3 linked regions of the Elephas maximus indicus genome follow. The protein of the gene in region 2 interacts with the protein of the main gene of each other region in a pairwise test. Links are inferred from orthologs where the notes say so. Each region holds a gene or a part of one and is shown on either strand. Other genes may lie near its edges.

What was found.
Region 1: the proteins of CCDC184 (region 2) and STX11 interact in binary tests that used the Homo sapiens proteins (3 or more experiments, as listed by UniProt). The two-hybrid records come from large-scale screens. The link is inferred for Elephas maximus indicus from reciprocal best matches to the Homo sapiens genes CCDC184 and STX11.
Region 3: the proteins of CCDC184 (region 2) and GPANK1 interact in binary tests that used the Homo sapiens proteins (3 or more experiments, as listed by UniProt). The two-hybrid records come from large-scale screens. The link is inferred for Elephas maximus indicus from reciprocal best matches to the Homo sapiens genes CCDC184 and GPANK1.

The regions. Positions count from the first base shown.
Region 1 is NC_064819.1:214,682,215-214,689,790, reverse strand, and holds the start of STX11 (syntaxin-11), read right to left. Parts: upstream 3,101-7,576; 5' UTR 3,006-3,100; exon of another isoform or gene 2,845-3,005; intron 2,760-2,844; 5' UTR 2,642-2,759; coding exon 2,578-2,641; intron 1-2,577. UniProt on the Homo sapiens protein: SNARE that acts to regulate protein transport between late endosomes and the trans-Golgi network.
Region 2 is NC_064822.1:103,058,357-103,065,738, reverse strand, and holds CCDC184 (coiled-coil domain-containing protein 184), read right to left. Parts: upstream 2,825-7,382; 5' UTR 2,327-2,824; coding exon 1,733-2,326; 3' UTR 532-1,732; downstream 1-531.
Region 3 is NC_064819.1:93,194,526-93,201,912, reverse strand, and holds the start of GPANK1 (G patch domain and ankyrin repeat-containing protein 1), read left to right. Parts: upstream 1-4,287; 5' UTR 4,288-4,453; intron 4,454-4,871; 5' UTR 4,872-4,975; coding exon 4,976-5,610; intron 5,611-6,380; coding exon 6,381-6,825; 3' UTR 6,826-7,387. Other genes in the region: CSNK2B (casein kinase II subunit beta), read right to left, coding at 134-233, 662-777, 1,352-1,454, 2,144-2,215.

The DNA of each region.
Region 1 (7,576 bases), on a different chromosome or scaffold from region 2:
TGGCTGCTAACCAAGTGGTTGGCAATTCAAATCCACTAGGTGCTCCTTGGAAACTCTATGGTGCAGTTCTACTCTGTCCTATAGGGTCGCTGTGAGTCGGAATCGACTCAATGGCAGTGGGTTTGGTTTTGGTTTTGAGTTATTCTAATTTGAATGTGGAAACCCTGGTGGTGTAGTGGTTAAGTGCTATGGCTGCTAACCAAGAGGTCGGCAGTTCAAATCTGCCAGGTGCTCCTTGGAAACTCTATGGCGCAGTTCTACCCTGTCCTATAGGGTTGCTATGAGTCGGAATCGACTCAAGGGCAGTGGGTGGTTAATTTGAATGTATCATCTGTTTCCTGTTGGGACCGTAACTGATATGCCATCCTTAATTAGCAGCTAGATCATAGCCCTCAAATGCCAGCTTCAGAAATTCTGTACCTACAGTCCTTACAAAAATAGCCCCTGGTGATATGTATTATCATATTACTGTTCAATTCACTGATTAGCTTTATGAAGAAAACATACAGTATGTGACATAATATAAATTTTTCTCCAGTACACTCAGACTAAAGAAATATCCTCAGATTCACAGGTGAATCTTTTATAGCTTCTTTATATAACACGTAATTTATAGAAATATGTAAATGAGAATTTGTAAGGTGATAGGTTTATTTTTAAGGTTTTAAATGTTTCTACATCTTAGAAGTTCTAAGTTGTTTCTAGATATGTGAGGAAGGCTGTATTTCGGTACTGCAAAAAATCCATCAGTACTCAACACACACAGCCTTACCAGAGAATACAGATTCTAAACCTTGAAGCTCAAGATTCAAACATAAAATAATCAGCCAGCTCCAGATTATTAAAAAAGGGAAATCCCATAATACTACTAAAAAAAAAAACCCAGTGCCGCCGAGTCGATTCCGACTCATAGGATAATACTAATACCAATATTAAAGATAACCAATACTTGCTGTTGCAGTTACAATTGCCAAGCACTGTGCTAACATTTTCATATATAATTTCGTATAATTCTCATCACAAATTTATTAGATGTGCCCTACTCAACCCCATTTGACAAAGGGGGAAAATAAGACTTCAAGTCTCCTATCCACAGTCCCAGCACCAGTAAGTAGAAGAACCTAGATTCAAATCCTAGTGTCCAACACAAAATGCAAATCCTTAACCACTAAAAAATAAAGAATCCAAGTGCACTATCAAAGACCACAGAAGACCCAAAGCTCTTTTCCTTTTAAAAAATGACTCTCCAAAGCAAATGACTTTTTTGCTTGCATTCAAAATCTAAGTAAAATTAGAAAAATTACTTTAAAAAGAAAAGGGCACAATGGGTAACTCATAGAAAAGCAAGTTCCTTTTTGTTTAGTAAGCTTATTTATTTTTCTGTGCATGGTACACAAGGAGGAGTAGAAAACAAGTAGTGGAAATTGTATTATTTTGGTATTAGTAAAATTTTATCCTTGCCTACTGTCATGGATTGAATTGTGTGCCCCCCAAATATCTGTAAACTTGGCTGGGCCATGACTCCCAGTATTGTGGGATTGTCCACCATTTTGTCATCTGATGTGATTTTCCTATGTGTTGTAAATCCTATCTCTATGATGTTAATGACATGGGATTAGCGGCAGTTATGTTAATGAGGCAGGACTCAATCTACAAGACTAGATTGTGTTTTAAGCCAATCTCTTTTGAGATATAAAAGAGAGAAGCAAGCCTAGAGACAGGGGGACCTCATACCACCAAGTTAGAAGCACCAAGAACATAGCGCTTCCCTTGGACCTGGGGTCCCTGTGCTAAGAAGCTCCTTGACCAGGGAAGATTGATGACAAGGACCTTCCCTCAGAGCCAACAGAGAGAGAAAGCCTTCCCTGGAGCTGGTGCCCTGAATTTGGACTTCTAACTCCCTAGACTGTGAGAGAATAAATTTCTCTTTGTTAAAGCCTTCCACCTGTGGTATTTTTTGTTATAGCAGCACTAGGTAAATAAGACACCTGCAATTCCTAAAATGGCATTGTTGTATTTTAATTTTAACCCAAACTTCAATTAAGTGAAAACTTTCTTCTAATACATTTGCATACTTGTTGTAAGGGACTTCAGTTTAGCATGTATTGGTTGCTGTATGCATACAAAGAGAACAAAACTTCCCTGTGAAAAGGAATGGGTTTAAAAAGTCTGGTAGAGAGACGGTATAACTGGTCTGCTGAATAGCGCTTAATGGAACTCAATTTTTCTGCAACAGTGATTTTGCATAACGAGTTGCAAAAGTATTTTAAGATGAGACTGTTGCTCAATACTCATTTCTGGTAAACCCTTTTTGCACCATTGCCCTGTCCTGAGGAATTGAGAAAAGCGAAACAGAAAAGCATAAACAGAGTATAACAAGTAAGCCAAGGTTTTTATACGTAATATTTTAGGCAGAAGCCTCTAGATATTAGTTTTTAATTTGAATAATTAAATTAGTTCTCAACAAGTATGATTCTTACAAAAAGACTTAACGTTTTTACATTCATATTTTGTTCATTTAGATGAATTTGTGTGATCCATTTAGAAACTATATAGTGCTATACCAAAAAGTCTTACTTTCGGGCTGAGACCTGGTGGTCTTCTCTTTTTCCTCTTCTTCATCCATTTGCTGCAGCTCCATGTTTTTGTTTCTCTTAGTTTTTCCTTTGGTATCCTCTTCAGACGAACTGTTTCCTCTGTCACAGATGATTTATAATTTCTGTGTGTTCATAGACAACAGCCAGCATCCTTCTGCGACTCTAAAGAAAATTAAAAAGGACAATATTGGTACCACAAAAAAAAAAAGTGTTTAAAACGATGAATGGGTGTTTAAGACAAACTTACGAAATTTGGTATAGTGAAAACAGGTTGAACTCTGCAGAGTGAACACACAAATTCAAAAGGCAAATTGTGTGTTTGACGATATCTGCACCATGTGATGATGATCTTGGTGAGGACTCGTTGGAGAGCCTGGCAGAAGCTCCTTTCGGTCTGCAGCATCTTACCTTACTGGGGTGCCCAAGTGTCAGGAGGAATCTTTGGGCTGACACGGCCTTGCATCACTAGCTTTGGGTGTTGAAAGCAGGCAGCTCCAGCTGACTTCTTTAAACTTTATTTTCTACAGGTTGGTAATAGGCAAAAGTGAGTTATGAAAAACAGGAACTTTTGTCACGGCTCTAGTCACAAAAAAACACAGATGTCCCATGCAGATTGGAATTCATCTTCGGTTACAATACAAATGTGGGTACTGGCCATAATCATTTCTAGGTCCTTATTTTATCTATGGGCCTAGCATAGCACGTTTCTGTCTTAAATAATGATTGGACCTTCCTGCAAGGAAAAAAAAAACAGGAAATCCAGGATCAATGACAAACTATTACTCCTCTAATGTTATTTAAATATAATATAAACAATATTGTTGTTGTGTGCCCTTGAGTGGATATGGACTCACAGCAACCCTATAGGACAGGATAGAACTGCCATACAGGGTTTCCTAGGCTATAATCTTTACAGAAACAAATTACCACATCTTTCTCTGGCAGAGTGGCTGGTGGGTGTGAACTGCAGACTTTTCAGTTAGCAGCCAAGGGCTTAATCACAGTGCCACCAGGGCTCCTTACTTAAACATACACATGATATATATTCTTTATGTCTACAGGCCCTTAAAAAATGCATAAATTCCAAATCAATCTGCACCATCTAAGTATAAAATTAATAATATTAAAATAAACAATGATTTAATACTGCTTTGATGAAACAAAACCACAAATGTCTATTCTAAAAATAGAAAAGTAAAATTGGGTATTTTGTATTTCACTTGTTACCATGTGAATCTCTACTTTAAATACAATAGGTATTCATTTTCTTGATCCTCATTGTTGTAATTTTTCCTTTAAACTATAAATTCCTTTTGAACTATCAATCCCTGATTTTAGTGAATCAATCAATTTAAAACTGTCCCTAAAATAAAATGCTAAAATACAAGAGTTTAATTTCATGAAACTGTCTTTATTGAATATTTATGACTGTATGCAGTGTTAATAAATTGAAATACTGAAGTGTGATCTATCTTCTATCAAACCTATAGTAGTACAGAAGAGTTCTTTTTTCTTAGAAAATACATACTCAAGCATTAAGGAATAATGGGGCATCATGTTTGCAACTGAATCTCGAAACGCTCAGAAAAAACAATGTGTGTGTGCATATGTGTGTCCATATGTGACTGTGTGTGTGTGTGGAGAGAGAGACAGAGAGACAAAGAGAGAGAAAGAGAAAAACAGAAAGAGGAAGAAAAAAGCAAAACAATTAGAGAAACTGAGTAGAGAATATTCAGGAATACTCTGTAGTAATTTTTTAGCACAACTTCAAATGGCCTAATACATATGTAATTGCAAACCCCAAAGGAAGGGAGGGGTGGGAAAAATATTTTAAAAATTTTGGAAACCTGTAAAACCCACAGATCTGAAAAGGTCAATGAGCTTGAGCACAAAAAACATGAATTAAACCACTCGAAGGCATATCATAACCAAACTGCTCAAAATCAGTGATAAAGGGGAAATCTTTAAAGCAGCCAGAGGAAAATGACACATTATGTACGGAAAGAAAAAGATAAGGATGACAGAATGTTTCACACCAAAGGAATGCAAGTGAGAAGAAAAAATACTAAGGGGGAAAAAAAAAGAAAGGAAAACTGTCTATGTATATATATATATATATATATATATATATATATATATATATATATATATATATATATATACCCAATGAATACATCCTTCAAAAACAAAGATGAAATAAAGATTTTCCCAGACATACTTATGCTGAAAGAATTCATTACCAGCAGACTCACACATGCTAAAGGAAGTTCTTCAGGCAGAAGAAAAATGATACTAGATGGAAATATGGATCTACACAAAGGAAGGAAGAACACTGGAAATGGAAACTACTTAGGTAAATATACAAAAAATTTTTTTCTTATTGCTAAATATCCTTAAAAGATAATTAACTGGCCTCCCCCTTGAGAGCAGGTGCAACACAAGGATGCTTGCTATCACCATTTTTATTCAATATTATCCTGAAAGTCCTAGTCAGAGCAATAAAACAAGAAAAGAAAAAATGGATCCAAATTGGAAAGGAAGAAGTAACACTCTCTCTATTTGCAGATGACACGATTCTTTACATGGAGAATCCCAGAGATTCCACAAGAAACTACTGGATCTAATAGAAGGATTCAGCAAAGTGGCAGAGTACAAGATCAACACATAAAAATAAGTCGGGTTACTTTACACTAACAAGGAGAACCCTGAAAAGGAAATTTTAAAAATACAGTTTACAATACCCCTCAAAAGGATAAAATACCTAAGAATAAATCTAGCCAGGGATGTAAAAGACCTATACAATGAAAACTATAAAACACTACTGTAAGAAACTAAAAGTGACCTTCATAAATGGAAAAATATTGCATACTCATGGATTGGAAAATTTAACATTGTGAAAATGTTAATGCCACTGTCTTGGTCATCTAGTGCTGCTGTAACAGAAATACCACAAGAAGATGGCTTTAACAAAGAGAAGTTTATTCTCTCACAGCCTAGTAGGCTAGAAGTCCAAATTCAGGGTGCCAGCTCCAGGAGAAGGCTTTCCCTCTCTTTTGGGTCTGGAGGAAGGTCTTTGTGATGCATCAGCGTTCCTTTGGTCTGGGAGCATCTCAGCACAGGAACCTCAGGTCCAAAGGGCACGCTCTGCTTCCAGCAGGCTTTCTTGGTGGTATGAGGTCCCCATGTCTCTCTGCTCACTTCTCTTTTTTATATCTCAAAACAGATTGGCTTTAGACTCTATCTAATCTCATAGATCTTATCAATATAACTGGCACTAATCCACCTCATTAGCATCGTAGCAATAGGATTTACAACACATAGGGAAATCACATCAGATGACAAAATGATAGACAATCATACAATACTGGGAATCATGACCTAGCCAAGTTGACAGATATTTTGGGGGGACACAATTCAATCCATGACCACTACCCAAAGTGATCTATAGATATAATACAATCTCAATCCAAACTCCAAAAACATTCTTTAATGAAGTGGAAAAATATACTAACTTTATACAGAAAGGAAAGAGACCCTATATAGCCAAAGCAATATTGAAGAAGAAGAACAAAGTAGGAGGCCTCACACTCCCTGATCTCACAACATACTATACAGCCTCAATAAACAAAACAGCCTGGTACTGGTTCAATGACAGACATATAAACCAATGAAATAGAATTGAGAACCCAGGAATAAATCCATCTGTCTATGGGCAGCTGATTTTCAATGAAGAGTCAAAGTCCATTCAATGGGAAAGAAGCAGTCTCTTTAACAAATGGTGCTGGCCAAACTGGATATTTATTTGCAGAAAATTGAAACAGGATCCATACCTAATACCATACACAAAAACTAACTCAAAATAGATCAAAGACCTAAATGTTAAAGCCAAAACTATAAAGTTCCTGGAAGATAATACAGGGACAAAATTATGGGACCTAATTTTTTTCAGTAATAGATTATCAAACACAACTATAAGTACACAAGCAACATAAGACATGTTAGATAACTGGGACCTCCTAAAATTTAAATACTTATGCTCACCAAAAATTTTATCTTCTTAGGATGGATTTTGTAGAGAAGCAAAACCCATGAGGTATATATATATGTGTGTGTGTGTGTATGTGTATATATATATGTGTATATATGTACATGTGCAGAGAGAGATTTATCTCAAGGAAATGGCTCATGTGGTTGTAGAGGCTGGCAAGTCCTAAGTTCATGGGTCAGGCTTTAGGCTGGAGGCTTCTCCTGACTCATGTATCTACAAGGGCTGATGAGCTCAAGATTGTCAGGTCAGATGGCATGTCACTGGTTCACAGGCTATGGAGGCTGACAAACTCCAAGATCAGCAGGTAAGCTGCTAGTTCAAGTCCCAAGAACTGGAAGTCAGATGATGACAAGCCGGATATAGCATCTAGTATGAAAGCCTTGCTGTAACACCCATTTATATACTGGAGCCAGGCCACACCCCCAAGGAAACTCACTTTCAACTGATTGGCTGCTCATAGCAGATTTCATCATGGAGTTCATTACATCATTACATAATTGCCAAACTACACCATAACTGCCAAGCTACTGAGAATCATTGCCCAGGCAAATTGACATACAACCTTAACCATCACGTTTACAAAAAACTAAAAAAAGAAGCTACAGATTGGGAAAAAAAATCTTTTAGAATGATATATCCGATAAGGGTTTAGTCTCTAAAATACACAGAAAACCTTAACACTCAACAGTGAAAAGGCAAATAATCCAATTAAAAAACGGGCAAAGGACATGAACAGACACCTCACCAAAGAGGATATTCAAGTGGCCAGCAAACACATGAAAAGATAATCACAGTAATTAGCCATCAGAGAGATGCAAGTCAAAATTACAATTAGATACGATTTCATCACTTCAAAAGTGGCACTGATCAGAAAACAACAAATGCTGGAGAGGTTGCAGAGAGATTAGAACTCTGCTTCCATGCTGTTGGG
Region 2 (7,382 bases):
CCATGCGTATCACAGTAGAACTATGCTCCATGGGATTTTCAGTGGGTGATTTTTCAGAAGTATATCACCAGGCCTTTCTTTCGATGTGCCTCTGGGTGGACTCAAACCTCCAACCTTCTGGTTAGCAGTTGAGCACTAACCGTACCACCCAAGGTCTCCCCTCCTTAACCCTTCCATGGAACAAATGTCACGCCTGCCATTCCAGGATCCAGACTTGGAAATCATTTCCTAGGGGCCAGGTGCTTCACTGAAAAGAAGTCTTTAGCACATCTGAAGTTCTGGTTACTAAAAATTCTTGTTAGTTTGGGAGTCTCAACAAATATTCCCTTCTTCCCTAGTCCAACTTGAGATCAAGGTCCAGATCAGAAGGGAAAGCAGGCAAAACTGGCAGTGACTGTCCCGACCATGGTGGGTCAACTCCTTGGAACTAGAAGCAAGGAGAGAGGAGGGAAGGCAGTTCCCACTAAGCCCTGGTCCATGCAGTGGGCCCAGAAGCCCCACCCTAACATCCCTCTAGTACCAGTCAGCAAGGAGGGGAGATGACGCCTCTTTATTAAGGTTAACACCAAGGAAAGCATTGAGAAAGGGATACACAAAGGAGGGGGATGGGCACACAAAGTCACCACTTGAGGAGGCAGCAGGGAGGCACGTGAGTTAAGGAACCTCAGGACAGCCACATGCTCCATGCCCTGGTGGGGGTAGAAAGGGAGAAGGGGAAGCGCCATGACAGCTTGGGACTCAGAAGGGTCGGATGTCCCCTAAACCTAACGCCAGAGCCACAAGCCCTGCCCCTCAGGGCTCACACACTACTACACATGTGGACACACATAATACACACAAGACATCATGGAGGCAACACCGAGAGGCAGCGGGCAAGGATATTTTGGCAGCAAAAGGAACTGAAGTTAAGTGGATGTAGCCAGAAGAGAGAGAACTTTTGGCTGCGGCTCCCAAGAGTCCCTCAAACGTCCCCTAAATCTGGGCTACTGCTGAGCACCCGAGTCTCTGCCTGTGAGCTGGGTTCTTTGTTCTCTAAACCCCAGTGAGTGGAAAAGCAATCCCGGATGAAGTCAGTGACAAGGCAGGATCCGCTCTGCATGCAAAATCCTAGAGGTTGAACTATTATGTCTTCATGCACATTCACAGCCAGCTCCTCCCAGCCCAGGGGCCCTTGGAACCCCATTCACCCAGATTCCTAGGGCTGCGGTTCCCTCCTCAAGCTTCCTTTACCAATCAGGAGCCGCCGAGATCTGTGAGGGGGAGAGCCTTCTGCAGAGCACTGAATAAGTTGGGTTTCAGCAGAAGGGCAAATGTCCTGTTGCCAGAACAGAATACCCCAATTCCTTAATTTCTAGGTAAATCTTTAGAGATTATTTGCCATAGTCCTAGATAAGTCCTTTTTCAGAATAGAAAAAGCAGAATTTATTTACACAAGTCAGGGGTTCTCCTGTTGGCCGGAGAGGGGTAAGGGTAGGGTAGGGGATGGATAGGAGTCCAGAGACGGGCGCTTCCTCTCCTGGAGCCTCACCTTTCCGCCGTTTGCTACCTCTCGCTTGGTTGTGCAGAAAGAATTCTTGATGCTCCCAAAGTCCTTCACCTTACAAATCATTCCTCGGGAGTCTCTCCCTGCCTGATCTACGAGGTAGCATGCGGCACCGCGCCGTTCAGTCCTCTCACGTCATGCACTGGGAAACCCACAGCCAGCCCGGAAAGGTGCCTCTGCGGAGTCCCCTCACAGGGAGGCCTCGCCCTCCATCTGCAGAAGGGTGATGTCGGGAAGGTCGAGGGGCTCCACAAGTGGCCCGTCCCCCCCAAGGAGACCAGCGCAGGAGCTCTCGGGACGCTCACAGTGACTGGTGGGTGTGGCGGGGCTGGGCACTTCCTTCTTCTCTACTTCGTCGTCGTCGTCCTCCTCGTCCTCGGGTTCGCGACCCAGCAAGCCGCTGCCTCCGGCCCCAGGCGAAGGGTTCTCCGGCTCTTGGGGGGCGCCCGGGAAGCTCCCTTTGCCGCCGACCACGCCCAGGCCGCCCTGGCGGGGCGCCGTGGTCATAATCCGGCACATGGAGACGATGGCGCGCTGGTTGGCGCACACGTCGTCCGAGAGTACCTGGATGTGCGAAGCCTGCTCGTCCAGGGCCCCCCGCATGGCCCTCACGTCCTCAAACAGGGCCTGCAGCTGGGCCTTCAGGTGTTCCATCAGTTCCTTCATGCCGCCGTTGTACTCCCCGGCGATCACGTCCCCCACGGCCGGCACCGTGGACACCTCCAGAGGCGCCGGCATGTCGCCGCCGTCCTTGGTCATGATCTCCAGCAGACCGTCCTCCATTGAACGGCAGAAGCGGGCGGTGGCGGCTCGGGGTCCGGTCCGGCCGGGCCTCCGGGCGGGGGAAGGGCAAGGAGGGGGTCCCGGGAGGAGGCGGGGAGGAGCCCAGGGAAGAGGAGGCTCCCGAGAGGGGCGGGAAGCCGACGTAAGGATACGAGTCCTGGGCGGAGGGCACGGGCAGGCTCGGGGGAGTCCAAGGAGAAGCGGCGGGAAGAGGACCGGGCGAGGGTCCCAGTGCCGGCGTCTCTCGGGCTCGTCCCGGGGCGAAAGCTCCGCGCCCTGCCTGGGCTCCGGGGTTGCGCCCGTATCAGCGCCGCCCTCAGGGCGCCAGGAGCAGCGAGTGCCCGCCGGTTCCCTGAGTCACAAAGGCGCTCGCTGAGGGGCTCGGGCCGAGACAGAGGCCAGCAGCGCGTCCGGCTCGGGACTCCCCCCAGCCATTAACAGGCAGCGCCCGCGAGCGTGTTTGGAGCGGCTGGGGCCGACTTCCCCACTGCGCCGCGGATGCTCCTCTGTTTCCAAGGCGACGCACGGCACGTAAATGACGTATGTCTCCATAGCAACCAGGAAGTGGCGAAGAAAAAGGAACCGAGGCTCTGGAGTCGGAGCTAACGAGTGGGGCGGAAGGGAAGAGTAGAGCGCTGCAGTGGCCTCGGCGAGGCTGGAAAGAGCGTGTGGCTGCAATGTTCAATGGGGAAGCATGAGAAAGCAGTTTGCTGCGTAAACCCAAAAGCCCAGGGGGATCATCCCTTCCCCAGTCTGGGTATCAGACATTGAGTGCGACTGCCTCGGGAGCGTTCTCACCAGCGCGCATTCCCTTCCCTGAGGGATGGCGCAGAGCTGGGTCCTGCTTCTCTGTCCTCCAGCTGTCCGCAGGAACACGGAGAGGGTAGAGAGGCCCAAGCTAATCATCTGACTTGAGCTGGTGCGCCGCGGCACCCTGGATCCGGCCCCGCCAGGCTTCGGCAGGGTAGAAGGAGAGCACTACCGAGATTTCTGCCTCACACTTCGGCTTCTGCAGTAAATCAGCTGTCTTTGTAGAAAGCACAGAAACTGAGAAAGGATGGGATTCCCTTCCATGGAAGACCCAATCGCTCCTTCCCAGGTCACTAGGGTATTTTCCAGGACGGTGACGCGAAGCACTTAAGTGTTGAGAATGAAAGCTCTATGAAGAGCAGAGATTTTGCCTCTCCCTCCCACCCCCCAATCGCTGAATCCCTAGTGCCTGGAACATAGTAAGTAGGTGCTCAGTGTATTTGTTAAATGAATGCTTTAACAAGAACCACTGTGTCGTGTCCCATTCCCTCACCCAGGTGGATGTTGTTAGTTGCCATGGAGTCCATTCTGACTCATGGGCACCCCATGTGTGCAGAGTGGAACTGCTCCGTAGGGTTTTCAAGGCCGTGACGTTTTGGAAGCAGATCACCAGGCCTGTTCTCCTAGGTACCTCTGGGTGGGTTCAAAATGTCAACCTTTGGGCTAGTAGCATGCTTAACTGTGCTACCCAGGGACTCCTAGACGGAGGTTAACCAAAAACCGTGGCGTCCAACTCATTGTGATCCTATTGGACTGAGTAGAACTGTCCTATAGGGTTTCCAAAGCTGTAATCTTTACAGAAGCAGACTGCCACGTCTTTCTCCCTCAGAGCCACTGGTGGGTTGAACTACTGACCTTTGATTAGCAACAGAGCACTTAACCACTGTGTCACCAGGACTCCTAGATGAATGTTAGGAGACCTGAATTCAAGTTTTGATTCTGCTACTTATTAATTCAGAGACCTTGGCCAAATCATTTTCCTGATCTTCTAGGGGTCTGGACTGGATAATCTATAATATTATTTCTAACTCTGAGTAATGCTCTGTGTCAGCTTACGAATAAAGGCATAAACTGTTGACAGTTGTGTGGAGGGGATGGATGGGCGAACTGTGTGTGAGGATAATTTCCCCTCCCTCCACCCAGTGCAAATATACACTGAGTGTCCCAACCTTTGTGACAACCCCTTTCACTGTTTGAAAAGCCTAGTGGGAGGTGAAGATGAGGAAGAAAAAATTGGATTTAATATATTTACAGATGACAGTAAAGTGAGAAGCAGTCAGGCCCTGGGCAGCAACATACTAATTAATAATAAAACCAAAACCAAACCCACTGCCATGGAGTCACTTCTGACTCATAGAGACCCCACATGACAGAATAGAATTGCCCCCATAGGGTTTCTAAGTCTGTAAACCTTTAAGGAAGCAGACTGCCACATCTTTCTCCCATGGAGTAGCTGGTAGGTTCAAACTATCAACTTTTCAATTTGGATTCAAGTGCTTTAACCACTGTGCCACCAAGTCTCCTTAATTAAAATAAACCCAGTAAGTTGGAGAGGATCCCTGGTGGCAAAAAGGTTAAGCTCTTGGCTGGTAAACTGAAAGGTTGTCAATTCGAACCCACTCAGCTGCTCCGTAGGAGAAAGACCTGATGATCTGCTTCTGAAAAGATTACAGCCAAGAAAACCATATGGGGCAGTTCTGTTCTGTCACATGGGGTCACTATGAGTCAAAATCCACTCAGTGGCACCCAACAACAACAGTAAATTGGAGAAGCCAAGTGATCAGAAACCAAAAATGAAGTTCACAAGATCAAATAAATCTGGGGAGGAGAAACAAACAGCATCCCTTCAAGATGGGGACAAGATAGCTATGGGTGAGTGTTTTGTACACTAATGGTTCAATGAGAGCAAACTTGGTCCTTTGGGGCTTCCGTAGTGAAGAGTGGGGCCCAGAAAAACATTCATGGCACTAAAGAACTATTCGGTCTTTGCCTGTATTACTGCTATAAAGTAGAAATAAATTGGAAATATCCTAAATATCCAACAGCGGAATGTTTAAATAATCTAAAACATTGTTAATATAAAAAAGTAGTTATTAGAAACTTATTTCCTAAAACAAATATACAAAGATATAAAAGACCCATAATATTGTATTTTCTAAAACTAATGATTCAGTTGTACTGCTAGGTCTGTCCTTCCTTCATTCATTCATTCCACAAACTTGAGCACTCTCACCTTGGTTATCACTGTTGTCACAATGAGCCCCCACAGGTTAGCCCTAAAGCCCTGACTCAAAAGAGGACAGAAATGCTTTTCCTCGGTTTCCTTAAGGAAAAAGTGGACTGGTATTTACAAAAAGACTAAACAAAAAGCTATAGAAGAACTGGCAGCTGAGACAGGACACACAAAAACAGGTGAGCTTACACAGCATACGTTTCTGATCACACCACCTTGAGCTTGTTTCCAGAGCAGACATGGGGTTCAACCCTGCTGTCATCCTGCCTGGAGAGCTCTGCTATAGCCAGTAAAGCCTGGCATTGCTTTCAGGCTTTTTTCTTCAGGCTATTACTTCACATCTTTTCACCTGCACTTCAAGGGAAGGATTTCATCTTGCCAGTTCCCTCACCCTTCAGGTGGGTCCCTGCCTTCTGCCTACAAAGAGTGGCCCTCTCCCCATTATAGGCCTCCCATCTTAGCAATCCCTAAATTAAACATAGCCTCCAGGCAGTAGGAGCTGGGTTATGCCATCATATAGGCTCTTTGTCACAGTTGTTGAGTATACCATATATGTCAAGGCTTTCAGCATAGGATCACAAGATTACATCATGCTTTCCAGAGGCACTGGCCATGAAGTCTGCTGATAGAAAGGGGGTGCTGAGCCTAGAGGGAGGGGAAATTATTGGAGAAGCAAGAAAGAACATGGGAAACGCGTGCAGAGATCAAGGGGTGTGGCCGATCCAGTCAAGTTCCAGGTCAGACATTTAAGAGCCACGGGTAGGTGGGAACTGGGGGAGTGAATCAGTAGCAGGACTTGAAAATACAGGGAGGAGAACCAGATAATTTCAGAATTCTGTAGGAAAATCAGACAAGGAGGAGTAGGAGGAGGCTCTAGTCTCTGGAGAATAAGAAAAACAGAGGCAGAGAGCAAAGCAGAGACTCAGTTGGCTGGGTTACAGGACTGGGTACTCTGGATGTCATTGCCCTAAGGTTGTTGAGTGGGCCCATTCCCAAAAAAAAAGGAGGTTTAGGGACAACCTGGCCATCCCACTAGAGTATTCAGAGGGACTGACACATAGTGAGTAAAAATAAACCCTACACACTCCTCTTCTGCTTCCTGCCTTTCTCTTATCTTCTGGGAGCCGCCTTAGCTGTTCCATTCCTTCAGCCCAGTCTCATCAGCCCATGAGGGGAAGAGACCCCGTGATGCATAGATGTAGATCTCCATCAGGTACACCTAGTTCCAAACATCACATTCTCCCCAAGATTGTGATTCTAAATTGTCTCTGCCATTTTCCTCTATTCTGGTGTGTAGCTGATCTCCAGTTCGATTTTCTAAAGCTAGTGTGTCTTTTGCACTACAAATCCAACAGTCATGATGAAGCTGCTCCCTTGACTCAGACCTATAACAATTATTTAAATCAACATACAGCTGACTGCTGCATCTTAGGCCCCCAAATCCCAGGCAGTAACTCCCCCAAATTTAACTTTTATGAAGCTGAGCTGCCTTGTGGCTCATCTCAGCAAGATTTCACACCCAATAGCCAAAAATAATTAAAAAGCAATTTCAATTTTTTTATAGTCTCTGGGAAAAGTCTAATGGGGTTACATTCTCAGCACAGAGCAAAACATCTTAAATTCCTCTTCTCCCCTCCTCTATGCATTGCACGTTTTATGGCATAACTGTTGCCTCCAGTCTCTCTCCTTTTTCCTCAACACCTCAAACTTTCTCTTAATCCTAGCACTTGCTTTCTCAGTCCTTCACTCCTCTCACTTCTTGAATGTATTTTTCTCTTCTGCAAAAAGAAAGTCCTTGTCCTTCTAACATAAGGGAATCAAAGTTTGTTTCAGCTCCTTTGACTCTCTCCCTTGCTTCCCTAATCTGCACTAGTACCGAAAGCCCAACTCTTAAGGACAGGGGTCTCCTGAGACAGTAAGAGAGACTAAGAGGCTGAGAGTACTCATATTACTGGGGATTTTGTGTCACATAGACTAGGTTTTCTCAGCACCAGAAAGAGGTTTGCCTGCTGT
Region 3 (7,387 bases), on a different chromosome or scaffold from region 2:
ACAGCCAGACTCAGCCGACTGGGCACCTTCTAACCTGCACAACTTTCACCCAGGACTTGGGCCCCGACTTGCTAAGTCCCAACACATTCCCAGGGCACCTGCCATATGTCATCTACCACTATCCAATACTCACCAATGGGGAGCATTGGCTGGTTCTCACAGTACACACGGGGACAGTAGCCAAAGTCTCCTTGCTGGTATTTTTCCAACTGAGGTAAATAAAATGGCGAAGACTGGTAGACAGGTGTGAAATGATGCAACCCACATAGTGCTAACTCCCCCCTCAGCCCAACCTATATCACTGTGCCCCTAATCCTTCCACCTCTGTCCAGAGGCCCCTTCCCTAGCCCAGACAGACCCTCAGACTCTGCTGCCTCCTTTCCTCCAGTCAGGCAGGCTGCAAACCAGAGTCATTCACTGTTTGTTCCCCAAGAAAGAGATAGTCTGCAAGAACTTCCCATTCAGGGTCATGTCTCCCTCCTGAAAACAGCCTCCCACAACATGCCCCGAAATCAGGACTCAACTCCCAGGCCCAGATTCTGGGCTTCTTCCCCTCTTCTCAGCTAGACTCCCTGGCAAAGTTGAAATGTATGACTTCTTGCTGCTGGAACCTGTTTCCCTTATTGCCTCAAAAGGAGTCAAGTGGGAGTAGAGTCCTCACCATCTGGGCGATGCCACGGTTGGTGAGGATGTAGCGGGCGTGGATCAATCCATACAGCATCTCAGCTGCCTGCTCAATCAGGTCACTCTGGTTGGGGTTGTCTTCCAACTCTTCATCTGAAACATGGCCCGGCCCAAATGCAACCACTTGCCATTCAGCCTTCCTGAGGGTGCTCCACTCACTCCCAGTGGCTGCTGGCTACTCAATTTGCCCACCACCTATCTCTGAGTCTCACCCCACCCATCACCTGGACATTCAACCCGTAAACCTAGGTTTCTGACCCCTTCCACCAACCCAGGGCAGCTCTGCCTTCCCTCCACACCTCTTCAGCCTCCGTTCTCTTCTCTACCCCTACCTCGCTTCTCAATACATAAATGCAAAGATGTCAACGCAGAAGGTGGAACTCTAGACTGGAAGGTGCAGGGCAGAAGAAACAGGCAGAAAACAAGACACTTGGGGAAAGTGGCATTATGGAATAAAGCCGAATTACAGAATCAGTGAGCACAGGAACAGATGGCAGATGTCACTAAACCAGGCAAGAGCCAGGTGGAGAATCAAAGTGAAGGAAGAGATTTTGGGATAAAGGAGACAAAGAGCCAAAAGAAAATTTAGAAATTCAAGAAACAGGGGAATTGGGATTTTGAGAGGAGGAAAAATCAAAACAAAACAACAACCCTGAAAGTGCCTCACCAGGCTCCAGGTCCAAGATCATGTCAAGGGCTTGTCGATAGTGGGGTACCTGCTCATTGAGCCCTGTGAGGTTGAACTTGTCTTGGATGTAGTCTTCATCCACCTGTCAGGATGTGGAAGTGAAGAAGGAAACCACAAAGAAACTCCAGGCTTTGGCACAGACATGTTGCTCTAACTGATGCCTTGTTCTCAACACAACTGCTTCTGTTCCCGTCATCCCCCACCCCAAACTCAAAAGAGGTACTCACACACTCCCTCTCCTAAAAGCCCTGGCCTTTCTTTTCTAAGGATGTCTCCTCAGATAGACATTCTTTTCAAGTTCCCTATCCGTACTCCTGCACCCCATCTCTAGGAACCAGTTTTGTTCTCTCTTTAAGGATAGCTGGCTCTCTGAGGAAGGTGGAGACTGACAGCTCAGATTCTGAAGGTTACAATCCCTTACGTTAACAGAGAACTTTACACATTACCAAACATTTTAACAGGTAGTATTTCAATTCTCGTAACAGCCACCTGAGACAGGTACTATCAGTACTATTCTAGTGATAACAAAGACATGGATTGACCTTCTCGACATCTTCCTGTCGGAAGATGGAAGGCTTGGGACTTGAGCACCAGTCTTGCCGCTTCACTACAGGTTAATGGGAGGTACTGAGGGGACACTTCCTTGACAAGAGGGAGTTTCCATGGAAGCATCGGAAAAAATTATAAGAAGGCTGAATATGTGTGGGAACGCCTGGGGTCAGAGTCTGTGTGGAGCTGCGCTGGCAAGCAGGGAGACTGAGGAGAACTCACTTCACAGAAGAACTCATTGCCACGGAGCCCACAGAACCAGGAAATCCAGGACACCTCCTCTGAACTGCTCATCTTTACGTCAGCTTGAAAAATAAGGGTGTAAGTAAAGCCGGTGACCCAGAGCTTTCCCTCCCTCCCTCTGTCTCTAGTATCCTCCCTCCTCCCACACTTCACCTTCCAACCACAGAAGAACCTTGGGGTCAGCCTTTCTTAAAGGAGAGCCCTGGTGCTGGAGTGGTTAAGAACTATGGAGAGCTGCTACTGCTAACCAAAAGGTGGCAGTTTGAATCCACCAGCTGTTCCTTGGAAGCCCTATGGAACAGTTCTCCTCTGTCCTATAAAGTCTTCAGTAGTCAGAACTGACTCGATGTCAACGGGGTTTTTTAACGGGGTTTCTTAAAGACTCCCAGACTCCGGAGCACCCCTCTCCAACTCCTTTTATTTACACCTCAGCCCCTTTTCTCTGCAGTTAGAAATCCTGTGCAGTCCACTTGCAAGAAACCAAGAGATGTGACCCACCAGTCCTACCCGCATCCCTGGCTCTCCCGCAAGCCGGGCCCCTCTCCCTTCCGTGTCAACTCCAGCAGGGTCCTCGACTCCGGCTCCCTACCACAGTAGGGCTCTGCAAGTTTCCGGAGCCTTTCCCAAAGGTCCCGAAGTTTATCCTTCCCGGGAAAGAGCCCGGCCCCTCCTTTTCTGACGGCCTGCGGGTGACTGTCAGATCCCTTCCACAGGAGCCCGCACATACCGCAGCCGCCCCCCAGGACACCCCTCCCTCCCTCCCTCCCTCAATGCCGGACCGGGTCACTTCCTTCCCCGCCCCCACATCGAGGCGCAGAGACCCCATGTGCAGCGCCAACGAAGAAGAAGGCTCGGCGCGGCGAGGACCTCAGACTAACCTGCTGGACAGGGGCCGGGAGTGGGGCGGGGAGGGGAGTTGCTGCTTCCAAGCGACAGCTACAACGAAGGCCGTGGACCCGACCGCGGCAGGCGACGCGCGGTGGGGGGAGTGGAAATTGGGGAGGGTGGGGAAAAGAGCAACGCGCAAGCGCCAAAGGTCCGGCACCGCGGTGGACGCCGGGAAATAGAGTCCCCGGTAGGGACAAACTGGCGAAACGAGGGAAAAGCTAACTACGAATCCCAGGATGACCCGCACACGACTCTGGTTCGCTGGGCCCGCGAGGAAGACGCTCGAGGGCGGGGCGCAGCGAGGCGCCACCGGAAGCGGAAAACAAATGCCGCATTCGGGGCCAGAGCCTGGGAAATACAGAGTTTTGCTCCTAGGACTGAGGGGCCGAGTGGGGGCGGGGAAATCAGCGCGCCAGGCTGAAGTCTCTCCCTGCCTCTCTCCTCACTGCTTGATACTCAAGTCCTGGCTAAGCGCCTCCGCCCTGGAGTCTAGTCCTGTTTATTCCTAGTCTCGTCCAGGCCGTCGCGTCTTTCTTGCCTGTTAGGTCCCTTGCCCCAGTCAGGCCTATTCCTGGGGCTTCCCCTTCTCCATAGGGCCCACGTTTCACCCAGAGCCCCGGCCTCCTGAGAAAGAAAATGCTCCGTGCTGAGAGACCTAGGTGGGCTGGACTGGGCTGGGCTGGGCTGGGCTGAGCGATGTGAGAACCGGGACGGCCCAGTGCGCTAACCTGAGGTGGCACCAGCCATCCTGGCGCTTGTCCCCTTGCACTTTTCCATATCCTCTTAGGCCTTGAATAGGACCTTCGACTGCGGGCTCAAAGTGTAACCTTCGAACCTTGGTCAGAGTAATGGTGAGGGGCAGGGTGACGTTATTTCATGTCACAGCTTCTTGGCATTGCAGATTTCCCTCCTCAGTGCCTTTCCTAAGTCAGGGAATGGTTTCCCGGCTCCAGAAAATGAGCTCGGAGCGGAGGGTCACCTCGAGGGAGGTGGAGGGCATTGTGGGGCGTTATGTAAAAGCAGGACCCCAACCGACAGATCTTCTTAGGTCCTCGCGCCGCCGAGGCACGCGACCCTTTGCAGATTGACTATTGGAAAGACTCCAGGGCGGGAAACTGAACCCGGCGCTTCACGCCTGCGCTCTGATGTAATCATGGCTTTTTTTTTTTTTTTTCCTGCCACGCATGCGTTGTCTTGTCTTGTGGCTATTTGATTGTAGCGTATCTTTTGATTAGAGTAGCGCCATTCTGCCGTACGGAAGCCACAAAGCAATGCAGGCGGAGCCTCTTGCCGAAATCTGCTTCCGGAGAAGTGCCGAGACTGTTTTTGTTTGAAAGACGGAACCCCGAAATAGGAGCAGGAAGATTTAAAGGGCCAGGCCGGTTTTTTTTTATCTTAAACGTATGTCATTTGGTGTGGAAAAGTCGGTTCAGAGAGAGGCTCTCATTACTTTTATATGAGAGCGGGGTGGCAGGGCGGGACATAGGCCCTCTGAGCAACTCTCTCATGGAATTTTCTTTGTTGACATTTAGCAAGGAGCAGGTTATTGTAGGGTTTCCTGTTTTTACATGTGACCTATAACCCTTGGAGCCCTGGTGGCGCAGTGGTTACGAGCTTGGCTGCTAACCAAAATGTCGGCGATTGGCATTCACCAGCCGCTGCGTGGAAACCCTGTGGGGCAGTTCTACTCTGTCCTCCTGTAGGGTCGCTATGAGTCGGTCCTTAGGCGCTTAGGCCCTGCCGGGCCTTAGATTGTGGGGTCACTTTTGGGGCAGGAGGGGATCTTGGATTCTAAGGCTACTTTTCTTCCTTTCGGCAGCTTCCTGGAGGTGGATCTCGGCACTACAGGGGCTTTTGGGCAGTTGGCTTGCTTTTCTCAGCCTTCCCTTGCCCAGCCTCATTTTCTCAGCTCTCACAAAAGCCATGTCCAGGCCGTCCCTCATCACCTTCACCCCAGCCAGCGATTCTAGTGACCTCTGGAAAGATGGGCAGCAGCAGCAGCCACAGCCTGAGGAGCCAGAACCCGCCTTGGATGGGTCTGCAGTCCGTGCTTTCTACGAGTCACTGATAGAGAGCGAGAGCAGCTTTCCTGAACCCCAAAGATCGCACCCTGAGCCTGCCAGGGAGAAAAAGAGGAAGAAAAGAAGACTGATGAGGGAGGCTGCGGCAGAAGCAATGGCAGTGGCAGAGGCAGCATCAGGGGTACATGGACAAGAGGGATCCCTTGAGGCAGAGGACAAGCTAACCCAGTGGATACTGAGGGCAGCTCAGGAGGGGGACCTGGCAGAACTTCGAAGGCTGCTGGAACCCAGTGAGACAGGAGGAGCTGGGGGGAATATCAATACCCGTGATGCCTTCTGGTGGACTCCCCTGATGTGTGCTGCCCGAGCTGGCCAGGGGGCAGCTGTGAGCTATCTCCTGGGCCGAGGGGCTGCCTGGGTGGGAGTTTGTGAGCTGGGTGGCCGGGATGCTGCCCAGCTGGCGGAAGAAGCCGGCTTCCCCGAGGTGGCCCGCATGGTCAGGGAGAGCCATGGAGAGACGAGGAGCCCTGAGAACCGGTGAGAAAGTCTTAGCCCATGCACATATTTCAAAGTGTTCTGCTCTTCTTACTCACTCTGCACCAGAGGCCCCAGAACAGAGCTGAGGGTCCCCCTGCCCCATGTAGGTTGATAAGGCAATGTAGTAGCATGGTTACAGACATGAGCTCCATTGGTTTGAATCCTAACTCCACTTACTTGGGCAAACAACCTAAATGCTATGTGTCTCAGTTTCCTTATCTGAGAGATGGTGGGTAATAATAGTACCTTTCTCGTAGGGTTAAGATTAAATGGGCTAATACGTGCAAACTACTAGAGCAGTGCTTGCCATGTAGTTGTTAGTTGCCATTGAGTCAATTCTAATTCACGGTGACCCCATGTGTACAGAGTAGAATGCTTCATAAGGTTTTCAAGACTTTGACCTTTTGGAAGTAGATTGCCAGGCCTGTCTTCCTGGGTGGATTTCAACTGCCATCCTTTTGGTTAGTAGTGGAGTGCGTAGCCATTAGCCTCACCCAGGGGCTCCTTTGCTACATGGTAAGTACTATATAAATATTAATTGTAATCATTATTATTCCTTCCTCCAAAAGTCTTGTGAGGCCTAGTTACCATTTCTTCTCCCAGCCATTCCCCTCTGGGTTTCTCATTGCTAAGTGGGGAGGAAAGCAATTTGTTCCTTAGCAGAAGGGCTGAAAAGACCTTGTCCCACCCTGCCAGCACCCCTGAAGCTTCTGTACCCTTCTCCTGACCCATAACCCCCTCCCTCAACTCCTTCTCTTCTTCCTCTGCAGGCCCCAATCTCGCGCCTCCCACTATTGCGAGACCTGTGACGCCTACTTCCAAGATGCCAACCACTGCACATCCACCGCCCACCTGCTGTCACTGTCCCAGGGTCCCTGCCCCCCTAGTCTTCCCCCTGGGGTGCCTGCCTCCAGCCCAGGCTTCAGGTTGCTGCTGAGGGGAGGCTGGGAGCCAGGGATGGGGCTTGGACCCCGAGGTGAGGGTCGCACCAACCCTATCCCCACTGTCCTTAAGAGGGACCAGGAGGGTCTTGGCTACAGATCAGCACCCCAGCCCCGGGTCACACACTTCCAGGCTTTGGATACCCGGGCTGTGGCTGGGCGGGAGCGAGCGCCTCGGGTGACCACACTGAGCCGGAAAGAGGAGAGAAGGCGAGAGGAGAAGAGCAGGGCTTGGGAGCGGGATCTCAGGATGTACATGAACCTTGAATTCTGACCTTGGTGAGGTTTGACCCTGGTCTGCTGCCAGAGTCTGAACTTTGGCCCATGACTTGGGTACTTTAGCCTGTACTCCCAGAGGTCTGCCCAGGTCCCAGACCCTCAGGTTTTGGTCACTGGGCCCTCCCTGCCTTTTGGGAGAGAAGGGCTGAGAGTTGAGAAATAAATCAATCTTCATTCTCTTTCCTAATCTGTTCATTTTTCTGGAAGCTGTTGTGGGGGAAGCCAAACTGAAGTCTGGGGGCCACATTAGCATGGCCAATTGGAGCCACAGGAGCAGCTACCTCCAGATGGCATGATAGAGTCATCTCCCTACCAATCTGGTTCTTTTGGAGGCCTGTTGTTGTTCTTAGGTGCCGTCAAGTCGGTTCCAACTCATAGTGATCCTGTGTACTACAGAACGAAACACTACCTGGTCCTTCACCATGCTCACAATTGTTATGCTTAAGCCCATTGTTGCAGCAACTGTGTCACTCCATCTCCTGGAGGGTCTTCCTCTTTTTCGCTGACCCTGTACTCTACCAAGCACGATGCCCTTCTTCAGGGACTGATCCTTCCTG